Lytechinus pictus: one gene and its partners. The protein of the gene in region 1 interacts with the protein of each later gene in a biochemical or structural test. Links are inferred from orthologs where the notes say so. Each region holds a gene or a part of one and is shown in the gene's direction. Other genes may lie near its edges.

Region 1 (4,981 bases):
GCCGCAAAGAATCATGTTCACAGTGGCGTACAGACCAAAAAGGGAATGAAAGAGAGAAGGGTGAAATATATTATGTCAAAATCTATCACAAAATTTGATTTTTGAATTAAATATGTCACAATTTTTGCTCGCTCGCTTCAATCGCTAGCAACTTAAAAAAAAGGATAAATTATGCCCGATACGCAATATCTGGCCCTCTCAAAATTGTCGCCTCAAAACACCATGATATGACCGGGAAATGTTTGACTCTTGCCCCCCCCCCCCCCCTGGCCACCAACCCCTGTTACGCCCCTGCCAAGGAGCTACAGTTATAATCTGTTAGCTCATCTAACCTAAACATAAATTTCAGTATCACACTTGAATATTTGTTCTCATGTCATTTTAAAATTCTCAACCAGAAGCCAATTACTCTACATTTATAATGATTCAGAATCAACCCCGTCCTGTCTCCCCATACACCATAGTGTGCACTTGTTTACAAATAATATTGTCCTAAGAAACTTTCTGTGTAACACTTCAATCTGGCTTATGTCTTCATAACCCCATATTTCGCTCCCATACAACAGGATTGGTAAAATCAGATGGTCAAATAAATGACACTGAATATCAACTGACAATTGCATTTTTTTTTTTGGGGGGGGGGGGCTTTAGCTAACAATGATAATGTTCTTCTCGCCTGTGTGACTCGTTTTTTTTTAAGGTACAATTATTTATTTTATCCCCAAGTAAAAAAAAATCATAAACGACTTCAATCGGCTCATTATTAAAAGTGAAATAGGCCCTTCCTAACTTTACCCCCAGAAAAAATGACTATTTTGGTTTTAGAAGTATTTACAGTCAAAGTTGAAGTGACATTTTCTGCAATAATCGTGAACTGAGTTCAATGCTGACTGCAACTCATCAGGGGTTTCTGCCAAAATGACTGTTTCATCAGCATATAAAATACAAAATAATTTAGAAAATATTCCAAATCCTCATCTTGTAGGACATTACAGAGATCCTCAGATAGCAAAGTTCAAGCCTGGATAAAATCTAGAGATATATGTTCCTGAAAATCAATAAAGATGAAAGATTTTCACCTTGTCTTACGCCGATATTACAACTATAAAAGTCTGACATGTTTACAGACACATGATTTTGCATATACAACATTTAATACTTTTCAGTCCATTTACCTCTGATTTCGTCATTCTAACCACAAAGATTGCCCATCAACTAAATCAAATGCTTTTTGTAGTCTTAAGGCACAGTACACACGCCTCTTTTTTGTAAATAATAGTCAACAATAGCCTTCGAAGCAAAAACTTGATCAACAAATTGTAGAATACAGGAGGAGTCACTGCAAATAGGCCTTAACGTGTCCCTTTTCAGGTCAGTATATATACCGGTACAAAATTTAGGGCGCGCCGGAGCCGAAAAAAAATTGTGTCCGCCTTTGTCTCCCCGGAAAAAAAAGTCCTTTACCCCCGACTCGCACCCCCCCCCCAAACGGTTTAAAAATACTGTTGCCGCCACTGATTCCATCCCAGACGTCTGGGGAAGGGAGGGGAATGTACATATTTTTAGTTAATTCAACTGGTGGGTTCAAAGACCACTTTGCAAAGATGAGTCAGAGATGGTACGTAATAAAGTTGATATAGACCCACTGACGCGACCCACAATATATAAGCACATTCAAAGTTAAGAAAGAAAAGAAACACAATTACAGGCTATAAAAACATGTAGGGCGCATCATTGCATATGGAAAGTCCCCTTTTAAAAGAAAAAAATATTGCTCATGCAGTGTAGGCCTATATACATGTAGTTATAAAATCTGTGCCTATGATATATCTTGATTTACCTTTAAGTTAATTTATTGTTTACACGCAGTGCCTTGACAATATAATAAAAACAAATGAGAAACGAAAAGGCCAGTAGTTTTATATTATAGCCCCCCCCCCCCTTTCTTGCGCTGCTGCAGATTCGATTACGTCAGAATCAGATAATGATCGAGAATAATCCAAATGTGATTCAGCGCAGAGCGCTATACCACTTAACTTAGCCCCTAGAAGATTGAAATAATGCATAAAGTATTTTAGACCTATATTCTATGGACAGAGATACATATCGAGAGCAATGATTGATTGATAGCCGATATAACTGTCATCAATTGTCGATGTTGACAGAATTACACTACAGAGAAGAAAATCTAAGCGCACTAGCACTGTAGGTACGCGTGCTGGTGATCGAAAACTGACATTTGTGAAAGAAGATGAACATAAAGATGAATGCTACGGAACTAAAGGAACAGGGGAATCGCTTTTATGGATCACGCAAATATGAAGAGGCCATTGGATGCTATAACAAGGCCATAGTGAGTATGATATTTAGCCTTTGAATGCATAAATAATCACAAATATTGCTTACAATGTACGAGCTTTGCTTACTCTAGTCCCACTCATAAACATTTGTGTAAGTAATTTAGCAAGGTCATGAAGATATTTGGGTGAAAACCATACGGCATACCAGACAGCTGGCAGCCGTCCGTTTCGAGGACTCTATTTACATTAAAAAAAATTCTCCTCGTACACAGACGGCTCGCGATCGTGCAGCTGCCATTAGCATGATTAGGGGGTTAACAATGCAAAATCCCCCCGACGCCGACGGGGCTCATCGATTTTTGTCTTTAATAACAATAGTCAATATGAAAAGAACTGGACCAAAATAAACGTCATTCCGTTTTCGCCTGAAATGCACCAAAACGGGGAAAAATAATTTAAAAGGGGGGAAAAAAGGGACTTACTTCGGCTGTCGCGCAACTCTCACTTCCCTGGTTTATCCAAACTAAGTTAAGTCCAAGTAAAAAAAGAAAGTAGTTGATCGTCCTCGCGCGCATCTTTTTTGGCCACCGCATGAAATATATTACTTTTTACTATTTTCAAAAATTTGCTAAAAAATATAAAAAAGTGATGTTTCTCGTCTGCGCCTGCTTCCCTTTTTGATTGCTGCATCAATTTTCTTGATATTAACAATTTTTATGGCTGCTGAAAAGCGAAAAAAATAAACAAGATTTGCGAGCAATTTGCTCTCATGTGCTCTGGGATCTCTCGCAACTTCCTAAAAACAAAAACAAGTCCGATATCGCGGCTCGGTCTGGCGATCACTGCTGTAAATACACAATGCCTTTTAAAAGGCCACCGCACACCTTATGATTGGTCTGCAACCCAATGTTTAAAGGAGAATGAAACTCTTGGAGCGAGTTAGCTTTTGTGAAAGCAGAAAAATCAAAGAATAAGATCAACAAAAGTTTGAGTAAAATAGGACTAGCAATAGAAGAGTTATGAGCATTTGAATGTCGAGATCACTAATGCTATGGAGATCCTCCCATTGGCAATGCGACCAAGATCTATGATGTCACAGATGAACAACTCTCCCCTTTTGGACACTGAAAATATACCCCAAAACATCTCTTTTTGCTCATTCTAATCATATGACAAACGATTCATCAATGATATAATGTTGTGAAACCTCTGTACTTGTCCTCTCATAAAGAGAACACCTCACCTTGTGATAGACTCTATAAAAGTGAGAATATAAGTGAAATAAGTACTAAAGTAATGAGGGAGTTGTACGTGTGTGACATTACAGATCTTGGTCGCATTGCCAATAGGAGGATCTACATGGCATTAGTGATCTCGACATTCAAATGCTCATAACTTTCTTATTATTCATTCGATCTTCCTCAAACTTTCAACAATATATTTCTTTGATTTTTCTCTTTGATACGGATTCAGCTGGTTTCAAGGGTTTCATTCTCCTTTAAATGAAAATTGCATTTGATGAGAATATTGAGACATGGAACATCTAATACTGTGGAAAGTTCTAAATCATTGAAGGAATGCGTAAATTGTTCAAAATCTGTGACTATACTACACTCCTTATTAGAATAATTTATGAAAATTCAATAGTAACATTGTCATAACAATCACACGATTGGCTGATATTTGAAATCAGTTTGGTCTTGACTGAAATATAATGCCTTCCATTTTTCCAAAATTTTGATTTAGTATTCCCATAGTTACTTTGAAACTTAAATGAAAAGATTCTTTTCATTCATACATGTACTTTTAAAAAATAAGCAAATTGTGATTTCTTTCAAATTACATGTAGATCGTTGACCAGTTGTAAGGGGGGGTCTTTGTATTTGGCAACCAGTCAATTTGACTATATTCGCCATCATAGATATTTTTCAAGTTTATTTTCTTTGAAAAAAAAATTATTTAAAAAAGATTCAAATCAGGGCGCGACAAACCTGCTTGCCCGCTTGCCCAGGGCAAGTGAAATTGACGTGTGGGCAAGCATTTTTCAAAGTCAATTGCCCGATCGGGCAAGTGCTTGTTTTGAAAATGAAAAAGATAAATTGACAGTAAAGTTTAATAATTTTTGATAAATTGCAATTATCCATCAATTATCTCTCATACAATGTCATACCAGTAAAAAAACAGTGGAAACATGTCAAATCAGCGCCAATTTACCGACATTTTATCGCCAGCGGTCCCGTTCGATGGGTGCTGCCATCTTACTTTCTAAACTACACTGTGCGCATGCGCTACTAATCGACGAAGGAGCTAGCTGGGGAAACCCCTCTCTCGCCCTCTGAGCGCATGCTCTACATGTACTATGGACGTACACAAGCGATCGCGAGCCAGTCGACTCTCGAGCTAGATCGCGCTGAATGCATGCAAGCTTCGGACTGACTCGGCCAGGATCAGGGTGACCAGACGTCCCGTATTTTATTCATTTCTAAAACATTTTAGTTTTTTTTTAATTTTAAAAATATATATAAAAAAACACCAAATATCATTAGGATTTTTGTTATAAAATATGATTGGATTGTTTTTATTTGCTTGAAGTTTGAACTTTTTCCTCTTTCTTTCTTTTCTATCCTTCCTTCTTGCCCTTTTTTGTTACATATCTATTTTTATTTCCTGTTCCTTTCTCT
Region 2 (4,981 bases), on another chromosome or scaffold:
TTCTTCCTGTAAAGTACAGACTGCCGTTGGCATATTATCGTACTAGTTGTGCTTGTCAAGTGCCCAGATGAATGGTGCGAATAAAAAATCTCTACAAACTATGTGCGGCTATAAACAGAAGAGGCCTTAAAGCCTCCTTTGCTGCACCTCCTGCTTGAAAGACGCGAGGGAGGTGCTGTGGACTATCTTTGCTTGGAGTGAGTTCCATAATCTGATAGCATCAGGAAAGAATGTATTTTGATATACACTCCCCTCCAAAAGTTTGGTAACACCTGCATTCAGTGTGTGTTTTTCTATATTTGGTAGACCTTATTGATGTTCAGGCTCATAGCACAGTTGAATATTTGTTTTAAAGTGAAGATTATACAGCAGTGTAAATTTTGTTATTGATTCAAACAAATTTATACTCTCTTAAATGGCTGGCTACCAGTCAAGATGGCATTCTCTCAAAATGCTAACTTCTTTTATAACATGCAGTTATTCATAGCTTTTGCACTAATACATGTGCAACTTCATTCATTTTTCCTTTTCCTAGTCAGAAGTCAGACACAAAAATAAAATTAAACAATACTCAGTGTTTCACTGATATGGAAAACTTTTTTATAGATTTTATTGAATAAACAAAAAAGACAATAAATCCTATATTTCTTTTAAATAACCACAATAACAATCAAAAGGGCGTCAGTTTTTTTCTTGATCATGGAAACTCATTTATTGAAAAAAGACTTTACAGTTTATTCTTTGTTTTTGTGATACTGTAACAAACAAATAAAATCTAGAATGAATTTTAACTTAAAGGCATGTCTTTCTTTTTCAAAGTGTTCCAATTAGACTGCCTTCTCATCAAAGAATCCTCCTTTGACAGCAATAACAGCACGACACACTCTCGGCATCCTGTTGGTCAACTTGTTGAGGGAGTCACTTGAAATACCCGGCCATGCCTTCTGTAGTATCTCCCACAGATGAGTCTCACTTGTTGGGCAAGTTTCTCGAACCTTCCTGTCTAGTTCTTCCCAAAGCAGCTCGATGGGATTGAGATTGGGGACTGGGGCGGCCAATCCATGATTTCCAGGACTTGTTTCTCTTCCTTTTTCTTCAAGTAGTCTTTGCATAGTCTTGACGTGTGTTTTGGGTCATTGTCCTGCTGGAAAACGAATCCTTCTCCGATCAGGCGTTTCCCTGAAGGGATGGCCTTCCGCTGTAGGATAGAATGATAGCCGTGCTGGTTGAGGATACCCTCTACTCTGTGCAAGCTGCCTACCTTTCCTGCACCAAAGCAACCCCAAACCATGACATTACCACCACCATGTTTCACAGTTGGCTTGATGCACTGGAGTAGCATCTTTTCTCCCTTTCGCCGTCTCACATAGGTAAGTCGCTTGCTGCCAAACACCTCGAACTTTGATTCGTCAGACCAAAGAACCTTCTGCCACTGCTCCAAAGACCAGTCTTTATGCTTCCTAGCCCAAGCAAGCCTTTTCTTCCGGTTCTTTTCTTTGAGGAGTGGTTTCCTTGAAGCCACACGGCCCATCAGCCCTGCTCCACAGAGACGTCTTCTAACAGTTGAAGAACATACAGGCATCTCACGGGTGTTGTTGAGGTCAGCTGTAATCTGTGGGCAAGTCAGACAACGGTTGCGCAGACTGCTCACCCGAATGTATTTATCTTCAGCAGGAGATGTTGTTTTGGGCCTACCACTTCGTCTCCTATCCCCATTAGACCCAGTGGCCTCTTTGCGTTTCAGGCTGTAGTGAACAGCATGGATACTGATCTTGAGTTTCCTGGCTATTTCTCGCATGGAGTAGCCTTCTTTCCTCAAAACTACAATTGACTGACGTGTTTCCAAAGAAGGCTGTCTTGTCTTAGCCATTTTGATTTTGTGACTGACTTCTGATTAAGAAAAACTGAATAGGCAAAATGAATGAAGGTGCACTGGAATAAGTGTAAAAAAACTCTGAATAACTTTTGAATTCATGAATTTCAAATTGCACTGATGTCTACTCCACTTCCATGCATTTTCTTTAAAGAAGGATTAGGCATTTGTCAAGTTCAGATGTTTTCCAGGATAAAGATGCAGATTTCCATAAATTAACTGTCTTATGAACAATACTGAGCAACAAATTCTGGGGACATCTGCTGTAACATTCACAAAATAATGGGAAGAATTTCAGAATAGAACCCCAAACAGAATGCCATCTTGACTGGTAGCCTGCCCTCTTTGGCAGCTGCACGTCTCTTAAGAGCTTTGAATTTGTTTGATTCAATGATAAAATGTACACTGGTGTATAGCCTTCACTTTAAAACAAAAGTACAGCTGTACTATGAGGCTTAACTTCAGTAAAGTCTACCAAAGTTCGAAAAACACACACTGAAGGCAGGTGTTTCCAAACTTTTAGGGGGGAGTGTATGGGTTCTGGCATATGGGATTTGGAACTGATCAGGGGAGCGTTTCATCAATATTTTTATCCGACAAGTTGTCAGATCTGACATCTTTCCCTGATTTTGATTGGCCGAGAGGCACTGTTCCCATGGTAACTGTCGGATAAAATGGGACTTGTCGGATAAAACGTCCGACAAGTCCTTTCATGAAACGCCCCCCAGGATTTCCACGTGTACATGGTCCAGTTGATTTGATGGAATAAACTGGTCATCCATGATCCGGGATGTCAATAAGCGTTGATTATTGCATAACGAGTATATACAGACATTCTGTAGACCTACATGCCGATATGACGTATTGTTCAACGCCACTGATCTGAATACTATAATAAAAGGACTAAAGATAGTGGACAGATCAGTGTTCAACACCCCTTTTTGTGAGTTACCTCTGCATCGATCGCAAGCTGATGCAATTAGGCAAAGCATTGCCCGAGATCAAAGGGAAGCACCCTTTTGGTGATATATTGCCATTACAGTACACGACATTTTCCAAGAGTGTTCCTGTACATGACACAAAATGTCTTTCTCGATATTCGGATTCAAGATTTCATTGCCCATTGTTGGAGCAATAGCTGCTTTGCTGTTCGGGTAAGTAGATATAGGCCTATTTATGATATTTCTTCTCGTAAGGCTTACGCTACGTTAACAGTAATATTTAAAACCGAGTTTGAATAATAGACTAAAAATGGGCCCTATCTTCAATTTTTTTTTTCAATCACATTTCCTTCATGTTGTTCTCTTTATTCTGAGCTTTGAACCTAGTTTGTTTGCTCGGTTGAACTAATGTAATCATTATTATACATTCAACATAGATGTTCCTGTAAAACATGGATTCATTCATTGTAAAGTTGTAGATTCTTAGCTCCGCTAGATGGACACTGGATGCACGTAATCAATGTATTTGTTAATTCGCATCCACACCATAGCTGTCAACAGTATGAATATAGGCCTACGTACACCAAAGGTGTTCAGTACAGACTTAACATAAAAAGAAGAAGTTCCTGTACTCCGATAGATCAAGAGATTGACCAGCGTTATTAACCCCCTCAGTTATATCATGGATAGTCAATAATTTCATATAGCGCTCCATGGTAGCTAGGCCTATACATACAAAGATTACACAATTTAATTCTACACTGAATGGAAGTGGTGTACCAAGTATGTTTCCGGTTCTGCCAAGGTGCAGTGGTTCAAAAGTCCCCATCCATCATCGACCTCCTCGATCGGCTCCTGGCCTGTTCGTAAAAGTAAAAAAAAAGTATTGTGGTCTAAACTAAATTTCGATAATATCATAATCTAACCATATATATATATATGTATAATCTATATCGGTGTGAGTGGGGAATCAAGTATGGTTTGCTAAGGTGTGCCTATCAATAGTTGTTTATACAACTGATTATACCCTCATTTGCATAGCTTTAAGTAACTTTGCGTCTCAAAATTCATACAATTCCCTGTGTGAAGCATAGAGTGCCGTGAATGCTGGTACTACTCATGTATATTCGGTTTTGGGGGCTATTTCTCTAAGCTGATACCATTGTGAAAACTGTGAAGGACGGCTGAAGGGGAGGTATAACATTAAAATTGATATGTGCAAATTGATATATATTATATCAATTAATAATATGTCTGCAAACAATGATCAGTTCTAGACGTTCTGAATAACAGAAATAATTAAAGATCACACCACACAAGTCATGTTATATCTGAAAGTTTAAAACGTATGATCATCTTTTTCTAAAGTTCGGAATAATGCTAATACGTCTTAAACATTATTAAAACAAATCTTTACTATGTGATCGGAGTAGAACTCGGCTTCAAATTGCAACAGATGGCAAGATTGATATGACGTTAACCTACGTGCTGCCATGTCGGACAAAGAAAATCACAAGCGACTGTTTGTCCGTCGATAACTTGAATGCGAGACCCATAAAATTTTACTTCCATAATACGTAATGGTGGTTAGGCCACCTATTTTTGTTGGTACTATAATTTTGTCATTTTGTAAGCACCATTGACACAATTACTATCAACATTATTCATGATTTATATATTTATCACCAGCCAGGAGCTATGGAACCTAACCTACCTTTGGAGGAAAGGAATCAAGGGCCCAAGACCCCTGCCATTGTTAGGCAATATTCTTTCCTGCACAAAGGTAAATTATGAGATGGTAAAAAAGGTTCGATATAAACCTTACAGATGGGAATTGTGAACTGATAACTTTTAAGTCATAATTGCTTGAACATTAACGGAGATTCCTCTATTGTTCAGGGGCCGCGGAACGGTTTTCAAGGGGGGGGGGGGGGGCTGACCATGCAAAAAATCACAATCCTATGGTAACTTTTACGTTTTTGTACACGGTTTTGGAAAATCTAGTTCATTACATATCAGACATAAATTCGTGGTTAAAGTCATATTCCACAATTTATTTAGAAACTAGATTTCGATTTTTATTGATTTCTAAATTCAATACAACAAGACATTTGCTATTTTATTTCATTTTTCTCACCCACTGTGTAAGATAGTATATGGTGAATAC
Region 3 (4,981 bases), on another chromosome or scaffold:
GGCGAGACTTAGGGATCCAAATGTCGTCCGTTGTCCGTCCGTCACAAACCTTATGACACATAACTCCACAACCGTAAGTCACTTTTCAACCAAACTTGGATGGTAGATGGACTTGGGGGACCTGCATGTTATGCTGCAGTCGGAGGTCACATGGTAAGGTCAAAGGTCATTTTCAGGTCAACGTTAAAGTTTACATGCAAGACTCTCTCATGACACCTAACTCCACAACCAGAAGTCACTTTTCAACCAAACTTGGATGGTAGATGGACTTTGGGGACCTGCATTTTATGCTGCAGTCGGAGGTCATATGGTAAGGTCAAAGGTCATTTTTTCACGTTAAAGTTTACATGCAAGACTCTTATGACACCTAACTCCACAACCAGAAGTCACTTTTCAACCAAACTTGGATGGTAGATGGACTTTGGGGACCTGCATGTTATTATGCAGTCCGAGGTCATATGGTAAGGTCAAAGGTCATTTTTAGGTCAACGTTAAAGTTTACATGCAAGACTCTTATGACACCTAACTCCACAACCGTAAGTTACTTTTCACCCAAACTTGGATGGAAGATGGACTTGGGGGACCTGCGTGTTATGCTGCAGTCGGAGGTCACATGGTAAGGTCAAAGGTCAGTTTCAGGTCAACGTTAAATTTTACATGCAAGACTCTTCTGAGACCTAACTCCGCAACCGTAAGTCACTTTTCAACCAAACCTGGATGGTAGATGTACTTGGGGGACCTGCATGTTATTTTGCAGTCGGAGGTCACATGATAAGGTCAACGGTCATTTTCAGGTCAATGTTAAAGTACAACCAAACTTCGATGGTAGATGTACTTAGGGGACCTGCATGCTATTGTGTTGGGAGGTCACATGGTATGGTCAAAGTTCATTTTGAGGTCAACATTAAAGTTTATGTGCAAGACTCTTATGACAAGTGTTATTCCATCCCAGTCATTTCACAAGGAAGTTTTGATACAATTCTGTTGCGTGCCCTCGCAAATCACTATATTTCTGGTTATTTTCATAAGTGGGCGAGACACAAAATTGCTTTTGCCTTGTATTTGTAATGAGGGTGGGGGTAATAGAAACCCATCAATTAACCAATACTACATTTTAAAAAAGCCCAAAGAAATAAAGCTGTAAAGTTAATGGATTACTGAAATAAAATCAAACTCTATTTAAGCCCCAGTCACATGTAGACACGGATCCTCAAAGATCAACACAGCAATGCCGGTATGAATTACAAAAAAATAAAAAACCCAAACTTCCTTTAACCAGTAAAAACGCTGTTTTAATTTTTTACACAATGCAGTTTACTATTTGTACAGTAGTTGTTAAGTGCTTGAAATCTTACATTACAAAATTTGAATATTTAATCTTAAATAAATAAAGCATGCTTATGTCAAGTGTTTAACAACTACTTGAAAGTTCATAAAGTAAACAGCGTTGTATAAAATTGATATGAAAAAAAAGAACACGGACTGTCAAGGATACTCCAGGCAACCATGCGGACCTACACGGCAACTACACGGACCAACACGGCAGCTACACAGACATCCCAGATTGCTTGTCTACCCGGCAGTCCACGGATGACACCGGACGTTTTTTTTATAGTAAAAAACTGCCATGTTGGCATCCCGGCCGGACATTCAAGGCGCCAACACAGATCTCTCCCCGGACCACCTCGAATCAGATCCGGGGTGGTCTGGGGCCTTTTTTTATGTGACTGGGGCTTTACAGATTATAGTGAAGACAACGTGCTTGATACTGAGGCCATTGCTACATGATTTGGGGTTTTTCATCATTTACGAAATAGTATGTCTCTCCCTTTTCTTTTTCCTTCTTTTTCTCCTATAAAAGTTGCCTGGTTTTTCCCCACTAGCCTTCTCAAGGGTTGCCTAAAGAAAGCTTTCTGCATTAATATTGTTAAAAAATAAATCTGCATTCATCCATAGAGCTATGATTCATCAGTGCTCAGACCTGAAGCTCCTAGGTATGCTCAATGGAAATATGGATGAATGCACATGAAAGGAAGTCTTTTTATGAAATCCTATGTTTAAACATTCCATGAGCCCCACAAATAAAGAGCTAGTGATAAAAATAAACCCCTGGGATTTCCCTTTAGCATTGCAGTGCAAGTACAATAGCAGGCGTGTGTGTAATTTGACCAGAAGGGATTACCATTTTCTACTTTTTTTTATCAAGTAAATGTTAACTCAAAAGGAACAGGTATAAGTTTAGTTGATATCTGACAAGTGTACTTCATGCAGTCTAGATAAAGTTAATGCTGTTTGTATCAGATGACAAATTCTTTACCTTGCAGGTAAGATTTGTGTATGTTCATGGTCATGGAAATGTACGTTATTTATTTGTGTGTGTCTTCCTGGATGTACCCCTCAATATTTGGATCCAAACAATCAAAAGAGGACCAAGGAGTGTGTACTGTTGCTTTTTAATCGTCCTTATTGCTTGAGACTTTGGTGCTGAAGTCGGTAGTTGTCAATGTTTGAGTTCTTGGATGTTTGGGATAATAATCATAATGTAGTATACAAGTATACCAGGCTTTGAGGATGCATAAAAAAAAATTTATCTGTGGTTGGACCGCCAATAACTATTTTTCAGAGAAAAAAAGGATGATATTCCCAGTCCAACCAAGGATGAATAATTTCCTCAATACTTAATAAAGAAACAACAGGTATATTTGGTTTATATCTGTTCTTTATTAAAGTAGATCCCAAAAATTCAGTCCTACTTGATCCATACCCAATCTGGACCAAGATATAGGTCCGTCACTTTGCTTTCATGCCCGAGGAGGGGGGCACACCCATTGACGAGTGGATACCAGGCGCGACCATTTGGTTATGAAATGCATATCCTAAACAAGCATTTTCCATATTTTGAAAACGCATCCCTTAACAAGTAGTATTGCCATGTGAAACCCTACCCTTAACAAGTATTGGAAACAAAACGGTAGCCTTGACAACTAATCCCTGAATTGACCCCCTAAACAGCGATATTTTAATTGTTATGTCATGGACGTCAGCTTTACCTCTACTTTTGTTGGGTTTAGTACCGCCCAATCTCCCACGCCTCTCTCAAATCGGACTCTAAACACATGTTGGGGCAAAAAGTACATCCTTTGTAAAGCATTTCAGTCTGTTTTATACCTTCGCAAATTTGATCGTAAACACATAGCTTTCCTAGCAAAATATGTACACTTTTTTCAGTATTTTAATGTTTTTGACACCCTTATTATGTTACGCGTAACATGCCCTTGAAAACTAGAGATCCTTTTTACGCGTTTCTTTGGTCGCGCCTGGTATCAACTCGTCATAAATGGAAGTGGCCCACCCCCCCCCCCCTTCTGGCTTGCATGCTGACCTACTTCTCTGTCCAAGGGAATCTGATTCGTTTCTAGACCGTTGCATCATGAAAGTTGCGCAGAAGAGACACGTAGTGGTTCAGCATATTTGAGAGATTGCATAATCTGTGACATCAATGATGGAGTAGCTAGTGCATTGATTTCATGTTTCATGGGGCTATTGCCAATAGTGCTGTATTTTTGGTGTCCATCTTATCTGTTTTGGGAGTCATTTGTGGGGACTTTCAGTTCATGTTCAAGAACTTTGCCTGTTATATTTTAAGAATAATACCAAACATAAGATATATGTAAATATGCCATGCAGTGTATGCAAGAAAACTTTTCACTGATTTACTATGCATCATGTATTCCAATCGTGATAAGTTCAAATTGAAACATTTTATAAGTTAAGTAACACTAACAGTGAGAAATAAACTTTCAATTTGCACTAGGCCTATTATTTGTCAATAGTTATTTTTGCAAATTGCTTTCAGATATATTTCATTCAATGTTACCTTTTATAAGTTTCTCCAGTGCCCTTCAAATAATCATAACTCGTAAATTCTGGACTCTGATCTTACACTCATTCTGAATATGGAAATGATATTTTCCTAGTAGCGAAGGTCCGATTGTTATGTTTAGCCTGCTTTATATCAATAGAAAAACTCGCTGTTAGATTTGATACCAGATGTACTGGATTTGATATTTGATTGATTGAACCTTTGGATGTTATTACCAGGTACAACATGGATGTTACTGATGAAAGGTAAGAAAGAAATGACAGTGTATACTTAGTTGTGTTTTGATGTCAGTAGGTTATGGGGGATTTATAATGGCAGAGAGGCAAACAGCCAGACATACTTGGATAAAATTCAAAAGAGATCTCATTTTATACACACTTGTGACAAAATAAAACTGCAAAAATGTACTCTTACATGTATTTGTTCAAAATATTTAAATGAAGCAGAATCACCAATTAATACAGATATTCCCTCCATTTTGTGTTCGGGAACTTCCTTTCAAAACTGGTGCAGCCGTGAGAACATTGAAACACGATACAATTACACGTATGTAATCAAATATTTGTGCAAGGCTTATTCAAACCCCATGTTATGATGATGAAAATAAAATGGAAACCGACATGTATAAATAAAGAATGTCAACTAAACACATTATAAAACTCATATTTATTAAATATGAGTTTTATAATGTGTTTAGTTGACATTCTTGATCCCAATTCAACTTGTTGCTTCAGAATCTTTTATCAATGCACATACGGTAATATAGTTTAAAGGTAAATGTGTAAAGTGTAGGATCTTCAGAATTTCATTGATTCCTTATTACATTCTAATTGACAAATATCATGTCAATTTCCCTATGTAATGTACGGTACTTGAACATAATGTAGCTATGTGCATGTGTGGAGTTTTCATGAAGTATATTGGCTAGAGCTGAACCATTCAGATTCAAAGGTTTGTTTCATGAATGTGCTAAAAGGGATGAACATATTTTGTTAAAAAACAAAATGTCTGGAATACTAGTTTGAGTTTCCTTCAAACAACTATTTTTTAACCTGTTAGAGACTGACTGAGCCAGCATGCATATACACAGGCTAGACT

The links.
Region 2: of the proteins of E3 ubiquitin-protein ligase CHIP-like (region 1) and cytochrome P450 3A24-like, one has a biochemical effect on the other in vitro, tested with the Homo sapiens proteins (3 studies listed by BioGRID). The link is inferred for Lytechinus pictus from reciprocal best matches to the Homo sapiens genes STUB1 and CYP3A4.
Region 3: the proteins of E3 ubiquitin-protein ligase CHIP-like (region 1) and leucine-rich repeat serine/threonine-protein kinase 1-like form a complex in vitro, tested with the Homo sapiens proteins (2 studies listed by BioGRID and IntAct, with this or other methods). The link is inferred for Lytechinus pictus from reciprocal best matches to the Homo sapiens genes STUB1 and LRRK1.

What each region holds. Positions count from the first base shown.
Region 1 is NC_087254.1:34,716,680-34,721,660, forward strand, and holds the start of E3 ubiquitin-protein ligase CHIP-like, read left to right. Parts: upstream 1-1,948; 5' UTR 1,949-2,251; coding exon 2,252-2,353; intron 2,354-4,981. UniProt on the Homo sapiens protein: E3 ubiquitin-protein ligase which targets misfolded chaperone substrates towards proteasomal degradation.
Region 2 is NC_087251.1:35,007,545-35,012,525, forward strand, and holds the start of cytochrome P450 3A24-like, read left to right. Parts: upstream 1-2,214; 5' UTR 2,215-2,956; coding exon 2,957-3,027; intron 3,028-4,503; coding exon 4,504-4,597; intron 4,598-4,981.
Region 3 is NC_087249.1:24,367,953-24,372,933, forward strand, and holds the start of leucine-rich repeat serine/threonine-protein kinase 1-like, read left to right. Parts: upstream 1-2,235; 5' UTR 2,236-2,324; intron 2,325-4,981.